5 linked regions of the Sus scrofa genome follow. The protein of the gene in region 1 purifies or fractionates together with the protein of each later gene. This does not show direct contact. Links are inferred from orthologs where the notes say so. Each region holds a gene or a part of one and is shown on either strand. Other genes may lie near its edges.

Region 1 (5,255 bases):
GTCCTATGACATTTTAGTTGTCTTCCTGTCTACAGACATGCTTTTATGCCTTTCAGCTTAATAACTGCAATGATTTCTTATCACTCCGTGCAATCATAGAGCCTAGAAATATTCACGCATCCTGCCTCTTTGTTCCTTAGCGTCCTACAGCTAAAGAACTTCTGAAACATAAATTCATCGTAAAAAATTCAAAGAAGACTTCTTATCTGACCGAGCTGATAGATCGATTTAAGAGATGGAAGGCAGAAGGACACAGTGATGATGAATCTGATTCTGAAGGCTCTGATTCGTACGTGCAAATTATTCAATTTTTATGTAGACAGCACATTTTAATATTACAACATCTTTTAACTACAATCCAATATGCTTTCCCAAGCATAAAATATAAACTCTGCTCTAGAGTTTGACTTTAGAAACTGGCCATCTTTTAAAATCACAACCTGTAGAGCACAATGAATTTGGAAACAGATTTTTTTCTTAGAAATGAATTGCTTTAGTTTTAAATGGTCTTGGTCTAACCCCTAGTGGATACTTAAGTATATTACAAAATTTTGGAACAAGATTCAATTTAAGGTGTTTTCTTAGTTTGCCCAAAGTGATACGGAGCTATGTCTTCTCATACTTTGGAGGCAACCTGCAAAATCCCTCTGGAGAACTAACTTTTCCCACTTTTCTTGGCCATGTACCAAAATGGTCAGATTGGTACATACTTATTTATATCTGATTTCTATCCCCTAAAATGTTGCATTGTTTTTTAGCTGCAGCAATTTACATTACCATTTTAGCCTCTAAGTCCATAACTTACTTAATTCAGCCTAAAAAGTCTGCCGGCTACACCAGCATTTATTCCTCCACTGGGTGAACTGATACCGAGGTAACACCAATTTTTTTTAGATAATACCTGCATTTATGAGAAATCTCCCAACTTTTGAAAAGGATAAAAAAAAAAAGATCAGGATAGGGGTTCCCACTGTGGCACAGAGGGATTGGGAACCTGGCACAGTGGGTTAAGCATCCGGCATTGCTAATACCCACGGCTCAAATCTGATACCTGGCCCAGGAAGTGTATGTGCTGTGCAATGGCTTAAAAAGAAAAAAAAAAAATGAGGATGGTTTTTTGTACCCTGTTCTACTCTCTGTTGCCTTAGCTGCCCATGACACTCACCCATGAAGCCTTAAAAAAAAAAAAAAACAAATCACTAAGCCACACTACAGGGGATCCTGATCCAGTCAGTGGGAAGGGGTGGGGGCCGGCCTTTATATTATGGAGTTAGAGGTCTTCACATGTGATTCTGGTACACACTTTAGAGTTGAGAACCACTGCTGCTGTCCCGTAGAAAGTAGTGTCGACTTGAAGCTGAAGATCAAATGATTTTTTAACACATCGGGACAGTTTTCCATTCAGAATCTGACAGCATTGACTTGGTATTTTCACCACCTATACCATTTAGGAACTTATGGAAGTATCTTTGGCCATCTCTTTAGGGAATCCACCACCAGGGAAAATAATACTCATCCCGAATGGAGCTTTACCACCGTGCGAAAGAAGCCTGATCCAAAGAAGCTACAGAACGGGGCAGTATGTATATCCAGATGTTCACCTCCTCTTGTTAGGACTAGATAGTGCGATTATGATGGCCAAACATTGTTAGAATCGAATACCCCTGAATGCCTGTCCGTTAGTTTTGAGCTAATTAAGAAATGATCAGAGAAGTCTTTTAAGTGGCCATTGGTATGTTTTAAAATGCATTTTCCCTAGAGATAGCTAAACCCGGTGGAAACAGGTCTATCAGTTGGAATCCTAGAAGTTAGAGGCCTCTGGATGATATAGATGGGAGTTATTGATGGGAAGAAAGCATGAAGACTTGCCTTACATTGGGTCTTTGGGGGGAGGGATGCAAATTAACACACATGAATGATTATTTTCATTTCATGTATATAATTTATAACATTTGTTCAAAGGAGCAAGATCTTGTGCAAACCCTGAGCTGTTTGTCTATGATAATCACACCTGCATTTGCTGAAGTAAGTACAGATTCATTAGCTTTGGAGATCTATTTGAAGAAGTATAGTAATTGTAAATGTTATAATTATTGATCTTTCTCAGCTTAAACAGCAGGATGAGAATAATGCTAGCAGGAATCAGGCAATTGAAGAACTAGAGAAAAGCATTGCCGTGGCCGAAGCTGCCTGTCCTGGCATCACAGATAAAATGGTGAAGAAATTAATTGAAAAATTTCAAAAGTAAGCTTGAAATGTCATTTTTTAAAATCGATTTTGGAGCGTTACCACTGTAGCTCAGCGGGTTAAGAACCCGACAGTGTCACTGAGGATGCAGATTTGATCCCTAGCCTCGCTCAGTGGGCTAAGGATCCAGCGTTGCCACAAGCTGTGGCATAGGTCACAGATAATGGCTTGGATCTGACATGGTTGCTGTGGCCGTGGCATAGGCCGGCAGCTGCAGCTCCAGTTCTGCCCCTAGCCTGGGAACTTCCACATGCCACGGGTACAGCCCCCAATAAAAGCAAAAGGAAACAAAAGAACAAAACAACTATTTTGACATGTTACTGCTGGATGTTCATTTATGGTGTCATAATTACCTACTTGATTCAGTCATTTCGATTATTCCTAACCAAGTCCATTCTTAATAGTCACATACTTGAAACCTGTTCTGTTTGTGGCCCATCTTCAACACTAGCTTTTGGATTCTTCTCTTCGGGCAGTACAAGGTAGTTTGCCACTGAATGAAATGGCCTGTGGTTTTTTTTGGTTTTGTTTTGTTTTGTTTTCCTTTCCCTGTTCGTAGGCAGGCGTATAGACAAAAGGTCACAGGGCATGATCTTATTTGGACCCTTGTAAATACCATTTAGAAATGCTTTCATTCTTGCCACTCTTCTTATCGCACTGCTATTCACATAGTTTCAGTGCCAAAGTTCATCAAGTTTAACCCCCATAAGAAAAGTTAAGGAAAGAATTTTAGGTATAGAAACTCAGTGAAGACTCTGAAAGGTTCTCATGTCTATATTTCAGTGTCTATAGTGCCTCTTAAAGTGTTGGTTTAATTTTGTTCACATTCAGTGAAGTTCTTCCATTTAATTTTTTAATTCTCTTTTTAAACAAGACTTTTGTATGCATGTACAAACACACGCAATTCCTTAGCTCAAGCAAGTTATAGAGCAGTACTAATCTCAGCCTTAATCTCGTTATATCACTTCTTTGTATTTGTGATGCCACTGGGATCAAGTTGGAACAGACCAGACAGCCTGTAAACCACATACTCTCCTAGATCTTTCTTGCTGATAAAGTCTGTTTGTACTCATCAGCTAAAGCCCCTCTTAAAATCCTTTCGTTTTTAATGGAAAACCTGCCCTCTCTTCGCCAGCTTGCAAACGAATCAGTTGCAAGTTGTAAAATCGGACGCAGAAGGGATTTTGGAACTCCTTTCTATTTTAATGTCTACATGATGAGAGGCAATAGAAAAAAAAATTGTTTGCTGCATCAACTCGATTGCAGAGTTCATATGAATGAAAAATGTGCACATGCATAGTTATATATCAATTTAAGTTTTTCTTAATTTTATAGGTGTTCAGCAGATGAATCCCCCTAAGAAATGTCTTGTTATTGGCTTCTCTTTCATATGGACCCAGAGAAACCCACCAAAGCTACTTCAAGCTTAACAATGCTTAACTCATGAGCTCCATGTGCCTTTTGGATCTTTGCGACATTGAAGATTTGAAAGAAGCTATTCAACTATTTTGTGATGGTGTTTATCATTTTATATTTTAAAGAGATTATTTTGTAAGAAATAACTTTTAATACTATAGTTTCAGCTGTATTCTAGAAAAGGTTGAGATACAGTTTTGCTTTTAGGTATCATTATTACTTAAGTTACTAGGATGAATACCTTTCATGTTTTGATCTTTAGTTAACTGTACACTCATGAAACATACAGGTATTTCACAGTCATCCTAAATATTCAACTTTCGTAAGTCATCAAGCTTCAAAAAGCTTTTTTTTTTTAACACAAGCATATTCTAAAAATGACTCTTGGAAGGGAGGTGGAGACAAGTCAGACATTCTTAAAACAGAAGTTTTTTTGATAAGCTTTTAGAAATGACATCTGGAAAGGTATTGACTCTTCTACCAAGTTGATGGTATTCCAGGCAGCTCAGTGACAATCACATTGGAGAGCCCGGTGTTGGAAGCATTTATAGGCAACATGTAGCAACAGAGGTACCTCTTGGTGTGCAGTATTTACCTTCTCTTTTAGAAGAGGCAATTGACCCTTCTTTAAGTTAACACGTTGGAAAGTTAAAGCAATACCAATTAGCCGAGGATGGGTTTTTTAGTAATACTGGAAGAACTAGTCAGGATTCATTTTTAAAATCACCTCAAATCACATATCATATGCTTGGATTTGGGGAGCTCAAAAGAAGCTGATCATAATGTGATCATAAATACCTGATCAACAGGTATGACTATAATTTACACCAGCATATTTTTGGCATGGTAGTAAAATGTCTTATAAACTATTTATACATTTTTTTTTTGTTCTTCAAACTATCCAGTACATGTAAGCATCATTTGTTCATTTTTGAAAGGGTATTTAAGCATTTTTTGATTCACATGAAAATAATCATAGTACAGGATGATTTCTGCCCGCACAAAGGTAAGTTAGACTGTACAGTTAAATTTTCAGTTATATTTATGGTACTGTTACGTGGGTAATACCTTTTTCCTTTAAGCCCAGTATATATATTATGCTTGCCTAAGTTCTGAAGTGGGGCTATATTTCAGTAGTTGTAGAATTATTGATATTGATTAGTTTTAATAGTTAATGTTTTATTGTTTGGATCTGCACAATTTGGTTTTTGCACAAAAGTCATTTTAATACATCTGAATAATTGCCAAATATTAGAAGAAAGGTGTTCTTGAAGTAAAGAGTATAGTTTTTACAGTGGCCATTACCTCCTCCTTTTTTTGTAATAATGCAGACACTTGAATAAGTAGTTCATTGCGCGTCATATGCCCAGCAGATTTTTGCATTGGTGCCTATACTGTAACAATTACTTTTAACACGTATTTTGAAGTAATAGTTCAGTTAAAATTTTCAGCTGCTGTGTAACGCTATGTAATTGCAGTTTATAATTTGTAGAGGTCTGGTAATAGTTTTGCAAATCACATCGTGTACTAAATGAATATTTTTGTAAAAGTAAAAGCAACAAATTTTTAAATTGATAATTTGAAACTTTACA
Region 2 (5,905 bases), on another chromosome or scaffold:
TCTTAGAAAAATTAAATCCTAAAATAACTAGCAGTGATTACCCTAATCAGTCTGATTCAGATTTCATGACAACAAAATTATATATCTATCCAGCAGATATTTTCTTACACAAAATTCAGTATTTTAGAGTCACTTAAAATATTAGAGTTTCAAAAGATAGCAGATAGGAAAAATAAAGTTAAATCAAGGCAAAAAGAAATGGATTGTTTATATTAACAAATGTACCATATATTATCAGTAAATTATCTTTCTAGTCTACCCTAAGGTGTCAGCTTCAAACTAAGTTCAACAAACACTTATTTTATTTTGCTTTTTAGGGCCGCACCCTCTGCATATGGAAGTTCCCAGGCTAGGGGTTGAAATGAAGCTACAGCTGCTGCCCTACACCACAGCCACAGCAACGCAGGACCTGAGCCACATCTGCGAGCTATACCACAGCTCACGGCAACGCCGGATCCTTAACCCACTGAGTGAGGCCAGGGATGGAACCTGCATCCTCATAGATCCTAATCGGGTTCGTTAACTGCTGAGCTACGAAAGGAATTCCCAAAGAATTTATAATTTAATGAGATAGATTAGACGTAGACATAAAAAAATCTTCACGTACTATGCTTTTCAACACCAAACAGGTGTTAAAAAAGCTAAAAAAAAGACTTCCAAGATCCAAACGTGTGTCAAACGGATCTTGTTTATTGTGCCAAGTAAGTCAAAGAGCATTATTTGCTTTTCCCTCTGGGCTCATCAAGGCTCAGGCAGTCATTACAACTTTGGCTTCCTTAGTCTCTTACCTTAGTTTTTTTCTGTTCTCTGCTCATGTAATGAGATATATCTTTTTGGGATTTCCTGTTCTGCTTTTAGTTTTTTCTGCTGCATATTGCTGGGGGCCCACATCCTACCCTCCTATCACAGTAGACTTTGTGTCTACTGGAGAGAGCCTCCGCAGTGTCTTCTTTGAGCCTTTTTACTGGAGATCTGGAAACAATCACTGAGCAGATCTGTGGGCACCAAGACTGGCTCTGAAAACTTCGAACCTAACTATTCAGAATTAATTACCTTTAGGAGGTCTACCTTCACAAAGTCTCATCAGGAAGGTAGAGGACAGTCCTCTGTGATTCTAACTCCTTGCATCCCACTCAGTATCTTTGGCTGAAGATAACAGCAGAAGACTTCAAATTAAAAGCGAAAGAAGCAACGCTAACAAATATGGCAAATTTTAATATTTGAAAGTGCTAGCAACAGATGATTACTGGGGATTCAATGGTATTAACATTAGGCCAAAACCATCAATATTCTTCTGCACCTCACAAAATGAAGGCCTTTATGAGCACCCTACAGAGACACTTTTTGGTAGTCATGTGTGTGAATAGCCAGAGTTTACCTTGCTTTTCTTTATCCTTGTCTCTAAGATTTAAAATTTACTTTCAATTTTCATCCCCTGAATTTTGGTAGAAGATACTGGTCTTAGAAGATCAATCAACAGCTCTCTCCCTACATATATATCGGTATCACCTGGAAGGAAAAACCTACCATAAAATCAGGACTAAGGACTAACCAAAGGCCACTGGACCAGATTAATCATAAACCTAGACCACTGAACCTGAATTTTTTTCAAACACTTCCTGCCTTTTGTTTCAAAGGAATTATACCTTCAAGGTTAACTGCAGTCTCCCTGAGCAACAGAGGAGCCCACCCTAGACTGGGAGATACTCATTCCTAATGTAAAGTTCTTTATTTACTTATCTGTACTGTTTCACTTGAAAGCATGCCGTTATTCACTGACAGTCCAACAATATACACTTGCATTCCTAGGCACACAGGGCCAACCCCGTAGATACCCAACACGCCCACCTCACTTTGAAACACAATAAGGATGGTTTTTCAAGATCTCAGGGAAGAAGTAGGGTGTAAAGCAAAAATGAAACAACTCAAACCTAAAAAAATCCCTTAGAGGTTCGGTTCTCCCTCAAAGAATAGAGAGTAAAGGTACAAAGGGGGTGGGGAAGATTCCTATTTCTCCTCCCTCCAGAATCTAAAAAAGTCTCGAAACAGGTGAGCCCTCGCCAAGAGAGAAAAGAGGACCCAAGGGGCTTCGGAGGAAGGCTGAGGATCAGAGAATGGGGGATGGGAAGAACCCAGGTTGGGGAAGGCTGATTTCGTCCCTGGAGCTGGATGTCTAGGTCGGGTCTTTGATTTTTACTTCGACCTCTCTCTTTTTTGAAAACACTGATTTTTATCTTACGGATGAAAGGAGCTCTGGTCCCACCACAGTGGGCAGGGACAGGTGTAGGAAGGGAATGTCTGTCTTTCCCGGGGTACAAAATGGGGGTGGGAGGCGGCAGACTACGGAATACGAACCTGTATGTCCTCTTCCAAGGTTGAGGAGCTGGGCGAGGGGGGCCTTAAATGGGGGACTTGTCAGAAGGGCAGCCCCTTCTGGGGAGTTGGGATTGAAGGGGGACAATAAGTAGCTGCGAGCACCCACGAAGGATGAGGAGCTGCCTCCTCTGGGAATACCGGGAGGTAGAGGAGACCGCCCCGCCCCCTCAAGGGATGGGCGCGAGTGGCATTTGGGACGGTGGCGGGAGGACTCCAGTGGTCCTACCCTTGCTCTTCTCTCGAGAATCCGGACTCCCAGCCACCGCCAAGCCCCAGCACCAGTGGCTCCTACCTTTTCCCTGCGCTCTGGACTCGGCTCCCGGCCGCCTCCGCCAGCCGCTGCATCCACTGCCCCCGGAGGCCCCGCCCCTCAACCGCCAGGCGGGGGCATTGGCATTCCGCAGGGCCAGTCGTCTCCTCGTCTCTTCAGCCCCCGCACCAATCCGAGTCGGCTGGAGGCGGGGCTTCTCCAATGTCATTTACGCTCCTCCCGGGGCCCCTGGATCCCTTTTGTTTGGGGAGAGCCAAGCTGGGATTGAGTGCGCGTCATTTCCGGGAGGAAGCGCCGTTCTCCGGCCGGGGCTCCCGGGTGGGCTCGCGCCTCTCCCCGCCGGGCTTCTGCAACTTTCCTCCTTCGATGCGGCTCCTGAACAGGACTGTGGCTAGTGTTTACCGTCGTGGTACGGGAAGCTTAGGAAAGGCCGGTTTCCGGTGCCCTGATTGATCGGGCATATTAATGTTTCATTTCATCCAAAATGTTAATAAGTGAAGTGTGCTTTAGTGTCTATTTTAGAAATAATTGTTGAAAACCTGGTAACATGGCTTGCCTGCTCTTTTTTTCCTTGGATGAGCTTCTGCTAGAAGCAAGGACGCAAAGATGCAAAACCCGGAGGACCATCCCCCCCACTTCTCTTTTCACATTACTTTTAGAAGAGAATAGTAGCTCTGGACCCCTCCGGGCGGGGAGCCGGGACACGGGTGGCTCCGGAAGAGCACAAACCCGGCCCGACCTGCCTTCCAGGTGGGGGTGGAACGAATAAAATCTGGTTGTCTAGGTTTTCTTGTGTCCCTGGCCCCAGTACACCCCGGGCTAGGGCTTTTGCAGTGGCGTTGGGACAAAGAACAGTAGAGGATGCAAGGAATGTCTGTCCCTTGCGAACACAGAAATGCAGATCTTGCTGGTGGCAGCAAGCCCTACCAGGACCAAATAATCCAGAGAGGGGAGAGGATGCATCCCTTCCTGAGGTCAAGGTTTCTGGATTCATTTTCCACTTCACAGATTGATTCAATGACCTGTTATTTTTAGGTATAATGTAATAAATACTTACAATATGATGCATAAATAGTGTAAATTTTAATAATATTATTCTAATCTTCACAGTTCTTATTAAGCAAAACAGTATTAGGGGTCAGGTACTCACCCAGGCAGACTGCTTCAAGCCAGATGCAGCCCTGTCCTCAAGCAGTTTACAGTCTAGTGGAGGGATGTGGTCAGTCTGTGTGATCAAGAGGGAAGACTGAAGAAAATAAACCAATATTAGTGTCATCACTGTGCCAGTTACTTTCACATAATGGTATCTTATTTAATCTTCACTACCATATGAAAAATATTTCCTAACCTGTAAGATAGATAGCACTCTGTCCATTTTACAGATGAGATAATAGAGATTCAGAGAAATCAAGTAAAGCCATAGAGGTAGTAAATGGTAAATAATTTCCAACAAGGATCAGTGAACTATGCTACATTCTGCACATCTGCTCCTATAAGGAGGACTGGTCCAGAGAGTGGATGGCTAAAAACAGCATTGGAGACAGAAAAAAGCTCCTTCCCTCCCCCTGTTGACTGTAGGCTTGAGAGGATCATCTCTATATAAGAAGGACAAAAAGACCGTACTGAGGTGCTCAACAGCAGCCCAAGTGCTTTTGAAGTAACAAAGTAGGATGTAGAGAACTTCAGAAGAGCATCATTCTCCGTATGCAGGAGACTGACAATCTGAAAGGCAAGATGAAGGGCCAGGAACACAGTAGGTGCTCAATACATACTGACTTCACTTGAAACAAAATGTCCGGAATGGTTAAAAACAGAGTTTAAGTGCTGGACTAGGCCCACGAATTTGAAAAATCCCATTTCCTCCTCCTCCCCTTTGCCCTGCGTTATGGGTGTGCAATGAGGAAGTGCTTCATTGCCTGACAATGAGGCAGATGTGGGAGAACAGGCTATTTTCTGCTGGCTTCTGAGTGAGTCACTCTAAGTTGTCCCAGTGAATCAGCTCCTCCCTCCTGCCCCTCCTTCCCTTTGTTAACCTACCACCACCCAGCTCTACTCCCAGGCTGACCTGGTGCCTACTTCCTTTATAGCAGCTCCCTTGACTCCCTGAGCTCCCACATGTCCATTCCTGAGTGTGGGAGGACCCAGCCAAAATGAGATCATCCTTGCTTTGTCGGATTCAGTGTCCTAAGGGTATTCAGATTGCTCTCCTTTTAATTTATCACCTCTGGAGCTGGTGAAAGAAGCAGGTCTTGTGAACTTGAAGTTTTGTGATGCTTCAAATATATAAAATGTGTGCATAAATTTAGAGTGTGGTACAAAGGTGTACACAGAGGTTGAAAGTGGGTTTGTAATATTTTAAATTTGTATAACAACATATCATTTTAAACATACCATTTGAATTTAATTTTTAAAAATGGAGGAGTTCCCGTCGTGGCGCAGTGGTTAACGAATCCGACTAGGAACCGTGAGGTTGCGGGTTCGGTCCCTGCCCTTGCTCAGTGGGTTAACGATCTGGCATTGTTGTGAGCTGTGGTGTAGGTTGCAGACGCGGCCCCCCCCGCGTTGCTGTGGCTCTGGCGTAGGCCGGTGGCTACAGCTCCGATTCAACCCCTAGCCTGGGAACCTCCATATGCTGCGGGAGTGGCCCAAGAAATAGCAACAACAACAACAACAACAACAACAACAGACAAAAGACAAAAAAAAAAAAAAAAATGGAAATATAGTTGACTTACAATGTCGTGGTGTTAGTTTCAGGTATACAGCACAGTGATTCAGTTATACATATATGTATATATATGCACGTATATACATTTGTGTGTGTATATATATATATTCTTTTTCAGATTCTTTTCTCTTAAAGTTTATTACAAAGTATTAAGTATAGTTCCCTGTGCTTGTTGTCCTTATTGGCTATTTATTTTCTATCACAACTTAGCATTTTTATGTCTATTATTTTATCAATGTGGCAGTAAGTATTTATTAGATGCCTACTGTGTGTCTGGTAACAATTTATTAAGAAGTGCTAAAGATTATAGAGTGTGTTAATTTTTCTCCAAATTGGTAAACTTCCTAGGTAGGTGTACCTAAATGTTTATGGTTGGTTTGGGGAGGAAATGGTGGAGTATAAGTGCTTTAGACTGGAAGTAAACAAATCTGGGAGTTCTGTAGGATTCCTCCTGCTGCCACAAGTTGTATTAGTTTCCTAGTGCTGCTGTAACAAATTACTACAAACTGGGGGGTTTAAAACAACAGAAACGT
Region 3 (6,022 bases), on another chromosome or scaffold:
CTGGAAATTTACGAAACCATTCAGCAAATACCATGTTTATCGTGGTTTTCCTACCATCCTTCTTTGAGTTCAGTTACCTCCCATAGAAGACCCCTTTAGTGGCTAGTGCTTGTTTTCATCTTAGCCCTGATTGCATCAAAGTGAAGTTATCTCTATTTGAAACCCTCCTCTCCCTATCCTTATCTCACAATACCCAGGTATACTCTCAGAGGGCAAGGATTGAGATTTGGTTCATCTATGTGTCTTCAGGGCCCAGCACAGAACTTAGAACAGGGCCAAAACCCTGTATGTAAGAATTGAATAGTATTTACTCTTTCATGAGCAGATAGATTACTCCCTTGAATTCTCACAACAGGTGCGTTAACTATTATCTCCAAGTAATAGATGACAAAACGAAGCTCGTAGAGGTTTAGAAACTTCCCCAAGGTCACAGAGTGGTGGAGCCTGTTGTCAAAGGAATCTGAAGAATGACGCCATCATTGATTCCAAAGGACCTCTCTCTCTGGAAAAACATGATTTTAAACTTTCAGAAGTTGCACTAATTTCGGGGTAGAGTCAGCGCTAGGGGCCTGGGAAATAAGATAGGCCCAGTGAGAAGAATTGTCATTTGAAATGGAACGCAAGGACTAAGAAAGAGTTTTTCCTCCGGGTAGGATACATAGCGAAGACTTTAAAGAGGGCGGATGAATCTTGTTACAGATGCACAAATCCTGAGACTTGTAGGAATTTAGTTGTTCACACCTAAGGCGGCTGTTGGGGTGGAGGTCGGGGAGCTGTGCTGCCCACAACTAAGATGGATGCTAATAACAGCTCCTTTGGATGGGCTTGGTCTCCTTGGGCGTTGATATTTTCAATGAGGACTCTAGTGAATAAAATTTAGTAAATGCTAGCGCCTTCTTACCAAGATGGCAAAGTAGGAAGTTGGCACGTTATGTTTAGAAAACCTTCAACAGGTCAAATTTTTTCTTGCCCATAACCAAAATGGTGGCAAAGGTGTCCCACGGTTTTGAAGCGTCCAACCCTTAACTAAGATGGCGTGCGGAGGCTTGTTAAAAAGGCTTGCCCTCTTTTCTGCCCTTGACCATCATGGCTTCCGCGGCGTCTGTCACGTGATGCCCCGACTACGGCGCGGGAGAAGGGGTAGGAGGGCCCTTGAAGGGTGCGCGTTCCCGTGGCGGTGCACCGGGTAGGTTTCAGTCAGAGTCACTATGGCGGCCGGAGCTGGCAAGGTAAGCTGAGGCGGCGGCGGCGGTAAGAGAAGCTGGACCCGTCTTGGCGTCCGGGCTCCCAGTCCCCGCGGCCCCTCAGCGGAAAGGTCGGCCGAGTCGTGGCCAGTCGCGGGGGCTGGTTGGGGTGGGCTGAGGGGGTTGAGGGCTGAGGTGGGCGGGCACCGGCGCTGACGGCCGTTTGTTTTGATGTTTTCCCCACCAGGTCGGAAAGTTTCTGTCGTCGGGCAGAGCCTGAGCTTGTCCCACCGGCTGCGAGCGGTGGAGGCTGCGGCGGACCCAACCCGGGGCCTCCAGGCCTCTCCCCCAACCTCCGGGCCAGCCTCCCTCCCCCACCTCCTCGTCCGTCGGGAGCTTCAGCTGCGGTCCCTGAGATGCGACCCTCGCGGGAGAGACTCTGAAAGGAGGTGGCCGGTGTGCTGAGGAGCAGCCAGGAGCCCAGGAGTCCAGGGACCAACTTCCTGCGGGCCGAGACCCCGGATCCTCCCCGGGGTCGCGCCTCGCTCGGTCACCACCCGCCTGCTGAGCCGGATCCCCGCCCTGGTCGCGGGGACGCCCGCCAGGTGCCCGGAGTCCCGCCTTGGCCGCTGCCCTAGCTCCCGCCGGTCCCCGTTCCTCGTGCCAGGGACTCCAGCCACCGCCACCTCGTCTCGTGCGGGGCCGGGGACCCTGTGCCACCTCCCGGCCGGCCTTCGCGGGAGGGGCAATGCAGACTGTCCGGCTGGCCGTCTAGACCCCTGCGCTGGCCCCATCGCCTCTCGTCCCTCCAGTCCGGAGGCCCTCGAAGACGGGCGGTGGCTGCCCAGAGGTGCTCAGCTACACCTTTCTTCCGCCTGAAAGGACCTTTCTGGCCGCAACGAACCGACCCTTCCTTCATGCTGCAGTGCTGCAACATTTCCGCCACCGAGGGGGGAAAGCGGCCGCGATCCCAAACAAAACCCAAGAATTGGCGTGTGACTCATCTGCTTGGATACCTCCAGTCCCCAAACTGTCTTCCAGGAGTTTTCTTGGCCGAAGCTGTCCAATGTTTGAGCCTTTTCTTCCCAGGGAAGAAGATGGACTGAAAGCTACCAGTTGGGGACTTGGTGTGATCAGGGCACTGCTGGGTTTTAAAGGAGGTGATGGGGCTTGCGCTGACTCGTCTTCCCACCCAAGTGAAGAGTTGTTGATGTTCACTGGTTATGCTTGGACAATGTGCAGTTTGTTTTAATTTAAAATTTGGTGGGGGATAGGGGTAGAGGCTTGTGAAGGGTCCGGATCCGGTGGACCTCCTCTTTGTCCCTAGTAGGAGAGACACCCCCAGTCTGTCCTCGATGCCGTCAGCCTTGGCCATCTTCACTTGCCGCCCGAACTCACACCCTTTTCAAGAGCGTCATGTCTACCTGGACGAGCCCATTAAAATCGGCCGCTCGGTGGCCCGTTGTCGACCAGCACAGAATAATGCTACCTTTGATTGCAAAGTGCTGTCAAGGAACCATGCTCTCGTCTGGTTTGATCACAAGACGGGCAAGGTAATGTCACTACGTTGTCTAACAATCTTTGTTTTTCGTTTCTCTTTGCCCTTTCTGCATAAATGTATGCAGGATCCCAGGGCTTGCACCCAGAGGACACTTTCAGCAAGGCCATGGAGAACCAACTTTTTGTGTGACTGGTTCTAGTGGAAATTTGTTTGAGGTGGTTGAATGGAAAACAGAGAAGGTATTGTAATTTAACACCCTGAGAGGGCGATGACATCTTGATAATATGGTCATTCCCAGTGAAATCCCAAACCCTAATTTGTTTTAGAAAACTAGATAGTGAAACTTGGCTTCTCGCTTTTAGTCTTTTAAGAAAGGTGAATTTGCACTTCAGTACTTGATGAAGCAAGTAGCAGTTCCCAAAGCAATGCAGGGAATCCATGGCCAGTATTACACAGGGGCTCAAGTGTCTCAATGGTGAAATGCAGTTAACACAGTGTCTTTGAGTTGAGTTCAGAGCAGGGTCTTTCTAGCAAGGACATTGTTTGTGTAAATTTACATTTTTGAAAGATTTGATACGTATTTACCTACAAGGGAGTAATTTGCAAAGCCAATTTAAGTATGAACAATTGTAACTTTATAGTTTCAGAATTTTGTTTGTAAGTTAGGTGAACATATACCAATTGCTTTTGAGGATCACTTTTTGATGTTCCCTGCAGCATTTATTAAAAACACCTAATGCATACTTATAGAGGTGATATTTAAAAGTCAGTGTTAAAATTTATTTTTTGAAATTATATCCAGTTCTGTTGATTTTTGCATTACCTAGATGTGATAGGATAAATTTAGTGTTCTTCATTATAAGTGTGACCATTTTAGCATTTTTATGTTGGCACCCTGATTAACTATACATGGGGTGCTTATATTTTAAGGATACAAGAAAAAAGTTAACTAAGACCCTTTTGATTTTTTAAACCTATCTGTGTGTGTGGAGAGTATACTAAAGAGCTCATCTTTGTCCTAAAACCTAACTTTAGTTAAGCTACTGAATCAGTTCCAACTTAGAGTAAGTTATGTAAGACTAATAAGAATATCTCGGGTTTCACCTCCTGACTTTTTGGTCCCTCTGAGTTGAATGATTAAATCCTTTTTAAGAGAAGAATTTAAGTGTTCTTTTAGAAGAGTAGTATTTTGAAAAAAAAAAAAAAAAAAAAAAAACCCTGAGCCTCACAGGGAAGAGAGAAAGCAATACTTCTGTTGCTACTGAATTAAGGAATTGTTATATAAATCATTTTTTTCAAAGAAAGGAGGAAAAGATTGCTCAAGTGCCATGTGCCTGTGTAATAGCTATGTCTTACTCTGTACATATGATGAGAACTGAAAAGTATGTTAAAGTATAACACGATTTGCTCATTTATCTGTGGAACATACCCCTTTTTCCTCATAGATTACCTGTAGTAATTTAAATAATTCATCTTTATAGTAAATTCAAACATTAGTTAACTGCTAGTGCCTTAACTAGCTTTCATATTTTTTCATTTTATGTCCCTGGGCAAGAGTTAAGGGCCAACCTAATCAGATACTAATTTTGCTTGAAGTACATAGCAAATACACCTTCTTGCCTTTGGTTTAATACTTAAAGGAGGCTTAGATTTTTTTCTTTTACTTATTTGAAAAATAGCGGCTATATACAGTGCTTTTCATGGTTATACTAAAACTCTCACATTTGGTTATTTTTACAGTAACTAAGAATAGATTAATAATGAGTGTTTATTGGGAATTCCAGTTGTGGCTCCGTGGCTTACTGAACCCTACTAGTATCCATGAGGATATGGGTTCCATCCCCATGCTCACTCAGTGAATTAAGGATCCGGTATTGCTGTGAGCTGTGGTTTAGGTTGCAGATGCGGCTTAGGTCTGGAATGGCTGTGGGCTGTGGCTGTGGCGTAGGCCAGCAGCTGCAGCTCTGATTCACCTTCAAGCCTGGGTACTTCCATACGCTGCAGGTGCGGCCCTAAAAAAAAAAAAAAAAAAAAAGAGTGGTTTTATTGTATAATTGAGATGACAAGTTTTGAATTGAATTTGTTGTTAGCAAACTTGATCTTTAAAAGATACACAGCTTATTTCTACCATTTGAACTTTCCCACCTCTTGCTTTATTAGTAAAATACATTTAGGATGTAGGGGCCTTTACTTGAGGTATAGATATAATTATTGATTATTAAACCACCTAATCTACTTAAAACAAATAGCCTGTCAGATCTAGCCATGGGATTAAATTGTTTTAGGAATTAACTGTTTAAACTTTAGATTTGAACAGATGCTAGGTTTTAATTGAGCGTCTGTTATGTGTCAGATAATGGTAAGGTACACAGTTACAAAGAAAATTGATAGTTTGACCAAATATCATTTATTGTTTTCTCTGTGTAAAATTTCCAGTATGAGAATTTGTTATAACAAAAGTCCCTAGGAACTAATGTATATTCATAGCAAATTCCTTTGTACAATACTAGAATCTCCTCCTATAAGCATCGCCTTAGGCAGGTTTTTGTTTTTTTTCCCCTAGACATCTTTAAACCTCAATTTTCTGGGGATGAAAATAGTATCTTTTATTGTTTCCAGGATTGAGATAATCATGTAAATCACTTAGCACCCTGTTCCCGGCCCTTATTAAGGGGTCAGTCCTTGGAGAAGAGGGTGTTTGGGGTGGGGGGAAGAAGAAACTATCTAGGGAGCTCTTTGCAATTTTTTGTAGTGCTATGGAATGTAAGGAGGGTAATGAGACATTATTATCTTTCATGTGATGATATATGTGGAAGTTATTTTTTAAATTTAAACATGTGAAGTTGAGAACCTTGTCCACATTGGCACCTTACCTGGGAGGTGGAAAATTATGGCAATATGCCCTTTTGTTTGACCTTCAGTTTGTGAATGTTGCATTCTGCTATTAAGGGAGGACCAATAGAAGCTGGAAGAAATCACACTTAAAATTTTCTGATTATTCTTGTAATACATGTATATTATAGGAAATTTGCAAAGTGTAGGCAGGGGGAAATCGAGGTAACACTTTTTTTTTTTTTTTTTTTGTCTTTTTGCCACTTCTTGGGCCGCTCCCGCAGCATATGGAGGTTCCCAGGCTAGGGGTCGAATCGGAGCTGTAGCCACCGGCCTACACCAGAGCCACAGCAACGCGGGATCCGAGCCGCATCTGCAGCCTACACCACAGCTCACGGCAACGCCGGATCGTTAACCCACTGAGCAAGGGCAGGGACCGAACCCGCAACCTCATGGTTCCTAGTCGGATTCGTTAACCCCTGCACCACAATGGGAACTCCGAGGT
Region 4 (6,060 bases), on another chromosome or scaffold:
GTAGCCAAAATCATAGGATAAATTTCTCAGATCAAGGAACAGATCAAGGGGAGAATCTAAGATTTTTCCGGAATTAAAATGGGATACTGTGATAAAAGGACAAATGAGATGAAATAAATTTAGCCATTCATCCTACTGTATTCTACAATTCTATAGAAGACAAGAAGTCATACAACCTAAGAACATCTAAAGAGTATTAACACCACACAAGTCTTTTTTTTCTTTTTTATGGCAGCACCCGTGGCATATGGAAGGGCCAAGCTAGGGGTTGAATTGGAACTGCAGCTGAGGCCTTGCTGCAGCTTGTGGCAATGCTGGATCCTTAACCCACTGAGTGAGGCCAGGGATCAAACAGCATCCTCACCAAGACCAGTCGCATTCTTAACTTGCTGAGACACAATGGGAACTCCAACATCATACAAGTCCTAACATTTATTTTATAGATGTAGTGTCTAAAAAATACTTTAAAAAGTTTCTAGGAGATATACACAAAATTTCAAAGAAATTTCTACAATTTAGTGAATGTTACATCACTGAATGGGGAAGGAAATAAAGGATGAAAGAGGAAGATAAATACAAAATACAGGCAGATACCTGCTGACTAGACTAGAAGCTCCCTGAAGACAGAGTCTATTATTCATCCTAGCCTCTAGAATCCTTGTATGTAACTTACACTCAATGTTTACTGGTGAAAAAAAAAAGGACAGGCTGTTCTTTGTCGGAGATAAAGACCTGAATCACAAGAAAACTGCAATGAAATTGTACTGTGATGCCTAGGTATTAGAGATCAGAGGTTCTACATAAAAATCTACAACCGATAAACCCAGAAGAAAGCAGAGAAGGAATAGGCCAAATACTTACCACAATCATTCTCCCATCAGAAGTAATGACAGCAACAGTTCCTGATAACTGAATCAAGGAAAGTGTTTCTCAGGGAAGGCAAAGTGAAAATTTTACATTTGACAATGGTTTAAATTACTAGGAAAAAAGGTGACAGAATTAAAATACAACTATTTAAATTACTAGAAAAAAAAGGTGACAGAATTAAGATACAACTATTCAACACATTTGCTCTCATGTACAAATCTGTTGCTGTGTTGAATACTTTACGTTGTTCAATTCTTTGTGACAATTACACAATTAGAAAAATATGGAAAAAGAGCGTCCCTTTCTGTACATGATCAGTCTATTTGATCTTAAAACAGCTGGGGTGTTGTTTTTGTTTGTTTGGTTTTTGTTGTTTTTTTTTTTTAAGTTGAGGAATATTGCCAGTCTGGCAACTGGGAAAGATATTTCTCCCTTTCTTAGATCTGTTTCTTCGTCTATAAAACAAAAATTGGATCAAGGCTAACTAATCAATCCTGAATTTCAAGCACCTTAAGGCAGTCTTTTAGGACTTGGCTTCTGGGATTCAAAAGAAAAGCTACAATCAGTGTCATCATTGATATTAATATGCTTGCATCATTAAAAGCATTTAGCATTTCACTTTTGTCCCAAATTTGTACATGAGAGCACAACATAGTGTTTCTGTCCTGAGACTTAAAACGGTAACAGGGGTACAGTGTACTTCACTCAGACTTTTTAAAGTTACCTGCCCCTCATAACGACCCATCACGACAGCAAACATCATTTCAATTCCATCAACAAAGAAGTTAAATTTTCAAGTGGTAAAAGGGCAGAAACTTAGTTTGTGCACAATATGTAAAGGTTTTTTGGGTTTTTTTTTTTTTTTTTTTTTTGCTATCCTCGATCGATTAGCAAAGCCTATGCATAAAACAAATACATGGATTTATAAGACCATCGCCACCGCTAGTAAAACCGTTCATCTTATACCGTATAGACCCTAGGAAACATAGTAAAGTTGAATCAATAGCTGATTTCTATGGAGACAAGGAAAAGTTCGGAATAACCACGTTGGTGTATTTTTTTCAGATTAAAATTAGAAGACACCTTGGACTCGCAGAAACGATGGTTTCCAGCCCCAGCGGGGGGATTGGTGGGTCCCAGATCCTTAATCCCCGCACCCGCATCCCGGGCCCCGAAGCGTCCCAACCTCCCGCCGACCCCCACCCCCGGCCTTTCAGCGCAGACACCGGCCTCGCCACTGCCCCACCTAAAACCCGCGGCGGGTAGTTCGAGGATACGGTTGATGTAGTTCTCCAAGGCGGACGTCATGATGTTCGGCCGGGCCGCTGGCCACACAGCAGGGAGGGTGACTACAGAAGCTAAAAGCGCCCGCCAGGAACCAGCGGCGGCTCCCGCCGACGGGCGGCGCAAATACCGCGAGAGTTACTGCGCAGCAGCCTCCGCGAATCAGAGATGGAAAGAAACCGGCCAACCGACCGTACCCGAGAGGCAAAGCGATAGGCATTTTACTGCGCGTGCGCAGTATGTTGCTGCTGGTTTCAGGGCGGTGATCTCGGAAGCCGAAAGGGACCGAAGCGAAGGGGAGGCGGAAGAGAAGCAGCAGCTTCCTGCAGGTGGGGTAGTGAGGAGACGGTGGGCGAGCGGGTTTACTAGCGGACTGGAAGGCTTTGTGGCCGAAGTTGCTGGGGAGAAATGTTGAAGACAGAGAAGGCAGGAGAAAACGGGATAAGGTGTTTTCATCACAGGCGAAATAGATGAGTGCTGTTCTGGTATGAGATGTCTACGCGGGGAAGTGGAATCTGATTTTCTGCCGCACAGGTCGAAAATTAACCTTTTAGAAGCTAAATGGCCCAGAGCAAAGTTGCACACGTTGTAACCGTACGGTATACATGTCTGGAGAACACAGCAATAAAAAGCATGCTCGCATAGTCTGCGTTTGCCTCTAGAAGTGCTCCGTCGTGGAAGCGTTGTTATTCTTTTATTTAAGAAACAAACAGAAAAGTGTGTGAGTCTCCCTTAGAAAGCAGCCTTTTACCGCGCGGCAAGGTCTCCCTACCCTCAGGGTGAAATTAGTTACTCTAAGACAGGTTCGCTGCAGCACCCTGGAAAGGACTGATTCAGGAAGGGTCTTCTAGATAAGCACCAAACGGCCTAGTTATGCGGTGGTAACAAAACTGTGGGTATCCTGGCACGAGTAACAGCAACTCATTTGGCCCTCAGTTGCCTTAGATGCTGCCACAGCCATCATTTTGGATATTTCAATGTTATTAGAAAGTTTCACTCTTATTTTACTGTGGAACCCTAATTTCAACTTGAAGTTAGAAAAGCATCTATCTATATACAAAATACCAGTGAGAGTTATTTGCCCTTTTTACAAAAGCGCCTTATGATTACAGTTAGGCTTGTGATTTTTTTAACTGAAAAATTGTGGATTTGAAAACTCTTGCAGTGTCAGCAGTTTTCTTCTGAAAAGGCAAGCATCTGTTTTCATTACAGCATACCGATCACTCCCCAATGTTTAGTATTTTATGTACTGAAACTTACTCTGACCTGTTTTGAAATCACATATACTCAGCAGTTAGGTTGTGAGTGTCTTAGGATTTTTTGGGTGGTGGTGAATAGCTTCCATAAATTAAAAAAATGAAGCTATTGTGTGGTTTGCAGATGTTCGACATTGAACTAAAAGAAAATTAGTGATAAATGAGATGATTAGTAAGGAGTTTTTAAAAAGTAACATGCCAAATATTTAAAATGAGTAATACATGTAGTTTTTCATAGAATGTGTTTATATTGAAAATGTTTGCTAAAATAGATAGTGATTTACAGAAGTAATTTCATCATCAGTGCATTACAAGTTTATGACCTTATGTAGTTTCCATTAAATTAATAATATGCCAGATAAATAACAGATGTGTGGTGTTTATGGAGCATCCCCAAATCTCTTTTATTTGAAATTTTTTTACACACATTTTAATACCATGTTTTTTGTAGTCCCTAATGATTACAGATGTGGAGAGAAAGCCTGTGGATAAAGAAAAGAAAAAAATAAGACAAAAAAAAATGAGTTATGTCTGGCTACAGACATTACATATGTGATTTAACTAAATTAGCCTTGTGACTTTGGGAATACATGGACTTAGAGAAATCAGCACCTTAAAATAGAGAAATAAGTTAAAGCTCCAACAGAGGGAAATAATTTATGTAAATATCTGACAATTGAAAAGTTAAACAGAGGTAAAATTTGGAACTTAAATCAAAATCAATGTACTACTCATTTAAATACTGTTAAAGAGTCAGAGTATGTTGGAATGCTTTTTATTTTGTTAATAAAGCACTTTTATTCCATTAGTTCTAAATCTAAACTTTGAGCAGAAAACTAAATTTTATTTTGTATTTAGTTCTCTTAAGATTTAAATGAACTCAATATTTTATATATCTCTCAACCCAGTCAGGAATCTCTATCTCAGTAGTAAATACAGCTGCCTATATCTAAAACAACAATCAAGAATAGGGCAGAAAAGAGATGGGAAAGGGTAGAAAGGAGTTTCCTAGATAACTGACATTCTTGGAGTCACTTTCCATTAGTAGAAACTAATGGATATAAAATGTGTCTCTCTCTGGTTAATAATTCCCCTGAGAAGCAGGACGTAACTCATCTCCCTTTGTATCCTGTATTTCATTAACCTGAAGAATCAGATTCATACTAGATTCTCAGAAAACTGAATTTGCACTTTCCTGTGAATGGTTCATGGGAAAAAATGATAAATGGAAAATTAAAATTCTACTTTTAACCTAATATGATAGGAACTTTTTACTTTTATTTTTATTGATTTGTATTTCTACAGGTTCCAAAATTGTCAACCAAATAGCAGTATACATTGAATAAATCTTTCTAGGCTTCTCCAAGGCAGAAAAGGACATAAATAAATTCTGATCTCTCCTTACAAGGAAATTCCTGAATAGATGCAGAGCTTTAATTATAAACACAAAATAATTAGTGTATGGAAAAATAATAAACATCCCAAATTATAAAGAAAGGTAATTGATTTGGAAATATTAGTTGATTTAACACTATGAGTTACAAAGTGTTTTTCTCATCTATATCTATTTTTCCTTTTAAGGTATTAAGATAGGCATTTTTAACTCAGTTTTTTAAGGGATGGAAAAAATCAAATGTAACTGAAATGCTAATTGAGAAGTGTATAGGATCATAATTAAGAACACTGATTTAGGAGCTAGCCTCTTTAGATTTGGATCCTATGTGATTTTGAGTGGATTATTTAACCTTCTTGCCTCAGCTTCCCCATCTGTAAAATGGAGAAATGATGGTACTTACATCATCAAATTTTGGGGGGACTAAAAGTGTTTTGGTAAAGCCTGGCATATTATAAGCACTCTATAAATTTCAGTTATTATTGCTCATGGACATAGACCATATCACAGTTAACCCATTTCTCAGTCCCGAAGCTTGTTCTGTTAACAATATTTTGTTCACTGCCTTTTTTTCTGATTGGACAAATTGAGTACTACACATTTTAATTGCTTAAGGAAGAGGAAGATGGATATATGTTAGAATCTTGTAACATTTTATGAAAAAGGTAAGACAAATTGGGGCTTGAGTAAAAGTACAAATTAACTTCAGGAAAATTAATCAGACATTAATTATTTGGTGGAGGTAAGAATTGAGGTTAAGGCTAGCAAGACTCCAGGTATGAGTTTCTGATTTGTAGCAGTGGGAGTGGAAAGGCAGAAGACATTTGATTCAAAGATAGTGAGTAAGAAAGGCAGGGAGGCAGAAAGCAAATCACAGACTGCCTAGTGATAGTGGTTGGTGAATTGGAAGAATGGCCAGAGTAGGGAGATACAGGAAAAGACAGGGGTGCTTGTTAATAAAGAAGATGGGGCCAAATTGTAGAACTGTGTAGGTCTGACACTGTGCACCAGCCAGTGGTGAGGCCACCGAACAGACTGGTCACACTGTCAGTGGCATACACAATACCTTAAAGGTCTGGAGAACCAACCTATCTCAGTAGGTCCACTGTTTCATTTATAAGAGATAATGCATATTAATAAAATCTTATAGGAGTTCCTGTTGTGGCGCAGTGGAACGAATCTGATTAGGAACCATGGGGTTGCGGGTTCGATCCCTGGCCTCGCTAAGTGGGTTAAGGATCTGGCTTGATGTAGGCTGTG
Region 5 (5,721 bases), on another chromosome or scaffold:
TAAAAAGAGAAGAGAGTTTGACATACACACTTGACAAGGTAAACTAATAAAGCAATTAACAAACAGCACAAAAGTCATGCTATTCTAGTTAAATTTGTTTTCAATTAATAACTGAATTAAAATTGAAAAAATAGATAAGCAGAAAATAATGACTCCCTCTTACACACATTAAGATGGCTATTAAAACAACAACAATGACAAGAACAGGGAGCACGCTGCTGGTGAAAATGTAAAATGGTGCAGCCACCATGAAAAACAGTATGGTCAATCCTCAAAAATTTTTAAATAGAACTACCATATACCCCCAGCAATTCCACTTCTGGGTATACATTCAAAAGAACTGAAAGGAAAGACTCAAATGGGAGGCTCATACTGAGTGAAGTAACTCAGAAAGAGAACGACAAATACCATATGATATCATTTATATCTGGAATCTAATATATGGCACAAACTAACCTTTCCACAGAAAAGAAAATCATGGATTTGGAGAACAGACTTGTGGTTGCCAAGGAGGAGGGGGAGGGAGTTGGGATGGATTGGGAACTTGGGGTTAATAGATGCAGACTATTGCCTTTGGAATGGATTAGCAGTGAGATCCTGCCGTGTAGCACTGGGAACTATGTCTAGTCACTTACAATGGAGCATGATAATGTGAGAAAAAAGAATCTATATGTGTAGGTGTAACTGGGTCACCATGCTGTACAGTAGAAAATTGACAGAACACTGTAAACCAGCTATAATGAAAAAAATAAAAATCATTGCATATAAAAAAATCAAATGGGTATTTATTACATGTGTTCATAGCAGCATTATTCACAACAGCCAAAAGGTGGAAACAACCCAAGGGTCCATTAATGGGTGAATGGATGAACAAAACATGATATGTACATAAATATAGATGTAAATATAGATATCAGTTAATATTTTTGTCTTTTTTTTTTGTTTTTTTTTTTTGTCTTTTTGCCTTTTCTAGGGCCACTCCCACAGCATATGGAGGTTCCCAGGCTAGGGGTCTAATCAGGGCTGAGAGACCCTGGCCTAGCCAGAGCCACAGCAACTCGGGATCTGAGCCACGGCTGCGGCATACACCACAGCTCACAGGAACACCGGATCCTTAACCCACTAGGCAAGGCCAGGGATCAAACCCGAAACCTCATGGTTCCTAATCGGATTCGTTAACCACTGCGCCCCGACAGGAACTCCCAATATTTTTCAGTCTTAAATGGAAGGAAATTCTGCTGTACATGCATGAAGCTTGAGGACATTATGCTGAGTGAAATAAACCAGTCACGAAAATGACAGTTATGATTTACATGACTCCATTTATAAGTGGTACCTAAAGTAGTCAAATCCATAGACAGAAAATAGAAGAGTAGTTGCCAGGGGGTAGGAGGAAGGCAGAATAGGAAGTTAAAAATTTGACTGCAGAGTTCCAGTTTTGCAAGATGAAAAGAGTTCTGGAGATAGATGGTGATAACTGCACAATTTGAATGCACTTAATACTACTGAACTATGCTTCAAAAATGGTTAAGATGGTAAATTTCATGCATAATTTACCACAGCTTAAAAAAAGAAAATATTTTTAAAAGAATGACGATAACAATACACATTAATCAAAACCACAAAGGAAAGGAGAAACTTGGACTAGCCCAGCCATAACTCAACTTGACCATCAGGCCTTGCAGGAAGCCAAGGGCGAGGCAAGGGGAGGCCTCCGCCACTGGGCACATATAAAGGCTTCGGGGAAACCGCGGCTTAAAGCGGGTCACCAGCTGACCTGGCTCCACTGCGCAAGCGCTATAGGCCATCACCGAGGCGCCTTTAAACGTACCCGGAAGTGACGTCACTAACGCTGAGACAGGCTCAGGACGGATCTGAGAGGTTCCTACAGCTGACCGGCGCTGGGGCTGTGTTCCTGTGGAGGCTATGAGCTGCACCATCGAGAAGATTCTGACCGATGCTAAGACGCTACTGGAGAGGCTGCGGGAGCACGATGCTGCGGCCGAGTCGCTAGTGGACCAGTCCGCGGCGCTGCACCGGCGGGTGGCCGCTATGCGGGAGGCGGGGACAGCCCTTCCGGACCAGGTCAGGCAGAGGGTAGGGGTCCGTGCCCTCGGGTTCTGGGCACTTTAGGGGTGGAGGGTGAGATAAAGTGGGAACGCGACTTGGAATATATTCCTGGTCCCCGAGGGCAGCGGTGAAACCTTTTTGCGGGGTCGGGGATGAGAATGTTACCCTGGAACACTGCCTCCTGCGTCTTCAGTTGCATTTGCGGCTGTCTTGTTTACGGCGCGATTAGTATGTCTCTGTTTGTCCAGTATCAAGAGGATGCATCCGATATAAAGGACATGTCCAAATACAAACCTCACATTCTGCTCTCCCAAGAGAATACACAGATTAGAGACTTGCAGCAGGAAAACAGAGGTTAGTCAGGCCTTTTTGTGTAGTTATGATTTTCTCATATGCAGTAATATTTAAAGAGTTCTTGCAGAACTGACAAACCATTCATAAAGATACACATGCTGTATTGTCCAAGTCAGTACTTTTAACGGGAAAGTTGTCCTGTGCCGGCCCAGTAGCAATAAAATGTGTTACATTCCCTTTTCAAGGTCATATAACTGATTTTTTATTTACAGGCAGCTCATCAGAAAGGTGTGTAGTAGAGTTGAATACTGCATGGCTTATTAGGTGTCCCCAGATGGAGTTAATATGCTTTGTGTGTGTGTCTTTTTGTCTTTTCTAGGGCCGCACCCACGGCATATGGAGGTTCCCAGGCTAGGGGTCTAATTGGAGCTGTAGCCGCCAGCCTACATCACAGCCACAGCAATACCAGATCTGAGCCACGTCTGCTACCTACACCACAGCTCAGGGCAACCAGATCCTTAACCCTCTGAGCAAGGCCAGGGATCGAACCTGCAACTTCATGGTTCCTAGTTGGATTTGTTAACCACTCAGCCAGGAGAGGAACTCCTGGCGTTAATATCCTTAAGGGCTTAAAATTTAATTTTTAAATAATTGAAATAAACATTAAAGTTAAGATCAAAGGGGTTTTTTTATGTTCTTGTGCAAGGCGGAAGAGCTAAGTTTTATCCTCTGGTGTATATTCTTGGGCTTAATGAATACATTGCTAATGGTAGTAGTATGAATAGCTATTTGTATATCAGTTTTCAGAGGGAATTACATATACCATACACTTGTATTCTCATAGCTTTATTTTGAAGTAAACAAGCCAGGTATTTATTATTACAAGGCAGATAAGAAATAGAGGTTAAATGATTTGCTTTAAGAGTAGTAAGCTAATAACTCAAAGAACTGGACTTAAACTTATGTCTTCCAATTCCACATCCCATGACTCTATCAGTTGATGCTGCTTCTGCCTAGACAGATATTTTTCACATAGTTAAGTTTTGGGGACTTCAACACTGATTTACAACTTTGGATTCCTAATATCCCATGGAATGCCATAAACTTCCAACTGTTTGAGTGTGGCTTTAGGAGGTATCTCTCAGACATCACTGCCAAGTTTTTTTATTTTTTGATAGAGCTATGGGTTTCCTTGGAGGAACACCAGGATGCTTTGGAACTCATCATGAGCAAATACCGGAAACAGATGTTACAATTAATGGTTGCTAAAAAAGCAGTGGATGCTGAACCAGTCCTGAAAGCTCACCAGTCTCACTCTGCAGTAAGAAACTTTTGTGAAAAAATTTTAAGGGAACTGCATTTAAATCTTGAAATTGTTTTGGATTGTGTGTTCACTTTTGAAGAAAACTAAGCTGTTTTCCTTTTGTGTTTTATCACATTTGCTGTTGGTTTTAGTATATCTTTGTAAAGATATGAATAAGAAGACTGGGGAAGGTAACATTGTTAATCAACTGTACTTTAATAAAAAAAATTTTTAAAGTAAAAAAAGGTGGGTAAAGAGCTGCTCAGGGCCTTTTATTTGAGTAATTCCAAAGTTCCTCCCTCCCTCACTGAGATCTTGTTTCAAGATGTTAATGAATGCTTCGTTCTTCTACCAGACAGAATGCCAGTTAATGTTGAAGGGGCTCAGTAAATACTTGAGTGGTTATTATTGTATATTTCACTAGACTTTAAGCTCTTTGGTTGTAAGGAGCTTGAATTCCATCTATTATCTCTAACATGGTACCTGGCACATAGCAGGCAGTCTGTAAACTATACAACATCAGTATCTATACTTTAGTTACTTATGATTTAATTTGGGAGACCCAGTAATTATTCTGTTTTCTTAACATTTTCATTTTTTCTGTTATAGTTGATTTACACAGTACTTGCTCATAAGTTTGTGGAGTGTTTCACAGTTCTCATTGTATATTCACATGTACTATATCATTTAATACATGATATAGTATGTATTACTATATCTCACTCTTTGCTGCAGTGGAATTTCTGGAAGATAAGTTTCATCTTAGATTCCACTGAAAACATTTTACTGACTTTAGTTAAAAAACTCAGAGGAAATGGGTGTTTTGGGGGGGTTGTTTTTTTGTTTGTTTGTTTGTCTTTTTGCCTTTTTTAGAGCTGCTCCTGTGGCATATGGAGGTTCCCAGGCTAGGGGTTGAATTGGAGCTGTAGCCACCAGCCTACACCAGAGCCACAGCAACACGGGATCCAAGCTGCATCTGCGACCTACACCACAGCTCAGGGCAATGCCAAATCCTTACCCCACTGAGCAAGGCCAGGGATCGAACCCTCATCCTCATGGTTCCTAGTCAGATTCGTTAATCACTGAGCCACAACGGGAACTCTGAAAATAGGTATTTTAAATATGCAAATGGCTTTCATCTGGACAAAATAATAATCTGTAATCCAGAAGCAAAAACTTGAACCTTGAAGGAGACAGAATTTAGTTTATATTAAAAACTTGCTGGGAGTTCCCTTTGTGGCTTAGGGGTTAACAAACTCAACTAGGATTCATGAGGATGTGGGTTCGATCCTTGGCCTCACTCGGCATTGCTGTGGCTCTGGTGTAGCTTGGCAGCTGAAGCTCCGATTGGACCCCTAGCCTGGGAATTTCCATATGCCGTGGGTGCAAGCCTAAAAAGCCAAAAACAAAGCAAAACAAAACTTGCTAAGAGATGTGACCAAAGATACAATAAGATACCTTGGAATGTGGTAAGTTTGGTGCCAATAAAAATATTTGAATTTAAGTTAAATAGCCATTTAGAGATACTCTCCAACATGCAATGAGTGTTTAGACCAGAATCGATTTTCTGGAAACAAATTACCTGTGAATATCACAAGGTAACTTTATTGTGGCTTTATCTCTGAGGACTGAGATTATAGTGAAACTTCTGTGTAAGCTCTGTAACATAGATTAAGTGAACTTTTAACATCATAGTGCACATGTTCTCATGAACTTCCTATCTGTAAAAAAAGATGACTTTTCCACCTTTTTTTTTTTAATATCATCACAGGAAATTGAGAGTCAGATTGACAGAATCTGTGAAATGGGAGAAGTGATGAGGAAAGCAGTTCAGATGGATGATGACCAATTTTGTAAGATTCAGGAAAAACTAGCACAATTAGAGGTAAAATTGTTGCTATTTTAGGTTCACAATATTTTTTGTTGTTATTGTTTGGTGGGGGTTTGGGTTGTTGGAGATTTGTGTGTGTGTTGTTTTTGTGTGTGTGTGTGTGTGTCTTTTTGCCTTTTCTAGGGCCGCTTCCTAGAGGTTCCCAGGCTAGAGGTCTAATCAG

The links. Proteins that work in one complex are often made in the same cells at the same time.
Region 2: the proteins of STK26 (region 1) and CTTNBP2NL purify together in Homo sapiens (affinity purification with mass spectrometry; 4 studies listed by BioGRID and IntAct, with this or other methods). This does not show direct contact. The link is inferred for Sus scrofa from reciprocal best matches to the Homo sapiens genes STK26 and CTTNBP2NL.
Region 3: the proteins of STK26 (region 1) and SLMAP purify together in Homo sapiens (affinity purification with mass spectrometry; 5 studies listed by BioGRID and IntAct, with this or other methods). This does not show direct contact. The link is inferred for Sus scrofa from reciprocal best matches to the Homo sapiens genes STK26 and SLMAP.
Region 4: the proteins of STK26 (region 1) and CTTNBP2 purify together in Homo sapiens (affinity purification with mass spectrometry; 4 studies listed by BioGRID and IntAct, with this or other methods). This does not show direct contact. The link is inferred for Sus scrofa from reciprocal best matches to the Homo sapiens genes STK26 and CTTNBP2.
Region 5: the proteins of STK26 (region 1) and SIKE1 purify together in Homo sapiens (affinity purification with mass spectrometry; 4 studies listed by BioGRID and IntAct, with this or other methods). This does not show direct contact. The link is inferred for Sus scrofa from reciprocal best matches to the Homo sapiens genes STK26 and SIKE1.

What each region holds. Positions count from the first base shown.
Region 1 is NC_010461.5:108,233,663-108,238,917, forward strand, and holds the end of STK26 (serine/threonine-protein kinase 26), read left to right. Parts: intron 1-140; coding exon 141-289; intron 290-1,485; coding exon 1,486-1,579; intron 1,580-1,962; coding exon 1,963-2,025; intron 2,026-2,107; coding exon 2,108-2,244; intron 2,245-3,582; coding exon 3,583-3,607; 3' UTR 3,608-4,007; downstream 4,008-5,255. UniProt on the Homo sapiens protein: Serine/threonine-protein kinase that acts as a mediator of cell growth. Modulates apoptosis. In association with STK24 negatively regulates Golgi reorientation in polarized cell migration upon RHO activation.
Region 2 is NC_010446.5:108,008,878-108,014,782, forward strand, and holds the start of CTTNBP2NL (CTTNBP2 N-terminal-like protein), read right to left. Parts: upstream 3,888-5,905; 5' UTR 2,669-3,887; exon of another isoform or gene 2,356-2,668; intron 2,338-2,355; exon of another isoform or gene 1,054-2,337; intron 1-1,053. UniProt on the Homo sapiens protein: Regulates lamellipodial actin dynamics in a CTTN-dependent manner. Associates with core striatin-interacting phosphatase and kinase (STRIPAK) complex to form CTTNBP2NL-STRIPAK complexes.
Region 3 is NC_010455.5:39,570,826-39,576,847, forward strand, and holds the start of SLMAP (sarcolemmal membrane-associated protein), read left to right. Parts: upstream 1-2,135; 5' UTR 2,136-2,539; coding exon 2,540-2,737; intron 2,738-6,022. UniProt on the Homo sapiens protein: Associates with the striatin-interacting phosphatase and kinase (STRIPAK) core complex, forming the extended (SIKE1:SLMAP)STRIPAK complex.
Region 4 is NC_010460.4:28,128,068-28,134,127, forward strand, and holds the start of CTTNBP2 (cortactin-binding protein 2), read left to right. Parts: upstream 1-2,173; coding exon 2,174-2,480; intron 2,481-6,060. Other genes in the region: LSM8 homolog, U6 small nuclear RNA associated, read right to left, coding at 862-902, 2,145-2,175. UniProt on the Homo sapiens protein: Regulates the dendritic spine distribution of CTTN/cortactin in hippocampal neurons, and thus controls dendritic spinogenesis and dendritic spine maintenance.
Region 5 is NC_010446.5:105,777,962-105,783,682, forward strand, and holds the start of SIKE1 (suppressor of IKBKE 1), read left to right. Parts: upstream 1-1,834; 5' UTR 1,835-1,926; coding exon 1,927-2,085; intron 2,086-2,318; coding exon 2,319-2,424; intron 2,425-3,542; coding exon 3,543-3,685; intron 3,686-5,438; coding exon 5,439-5,552; intron 5,553-5,721.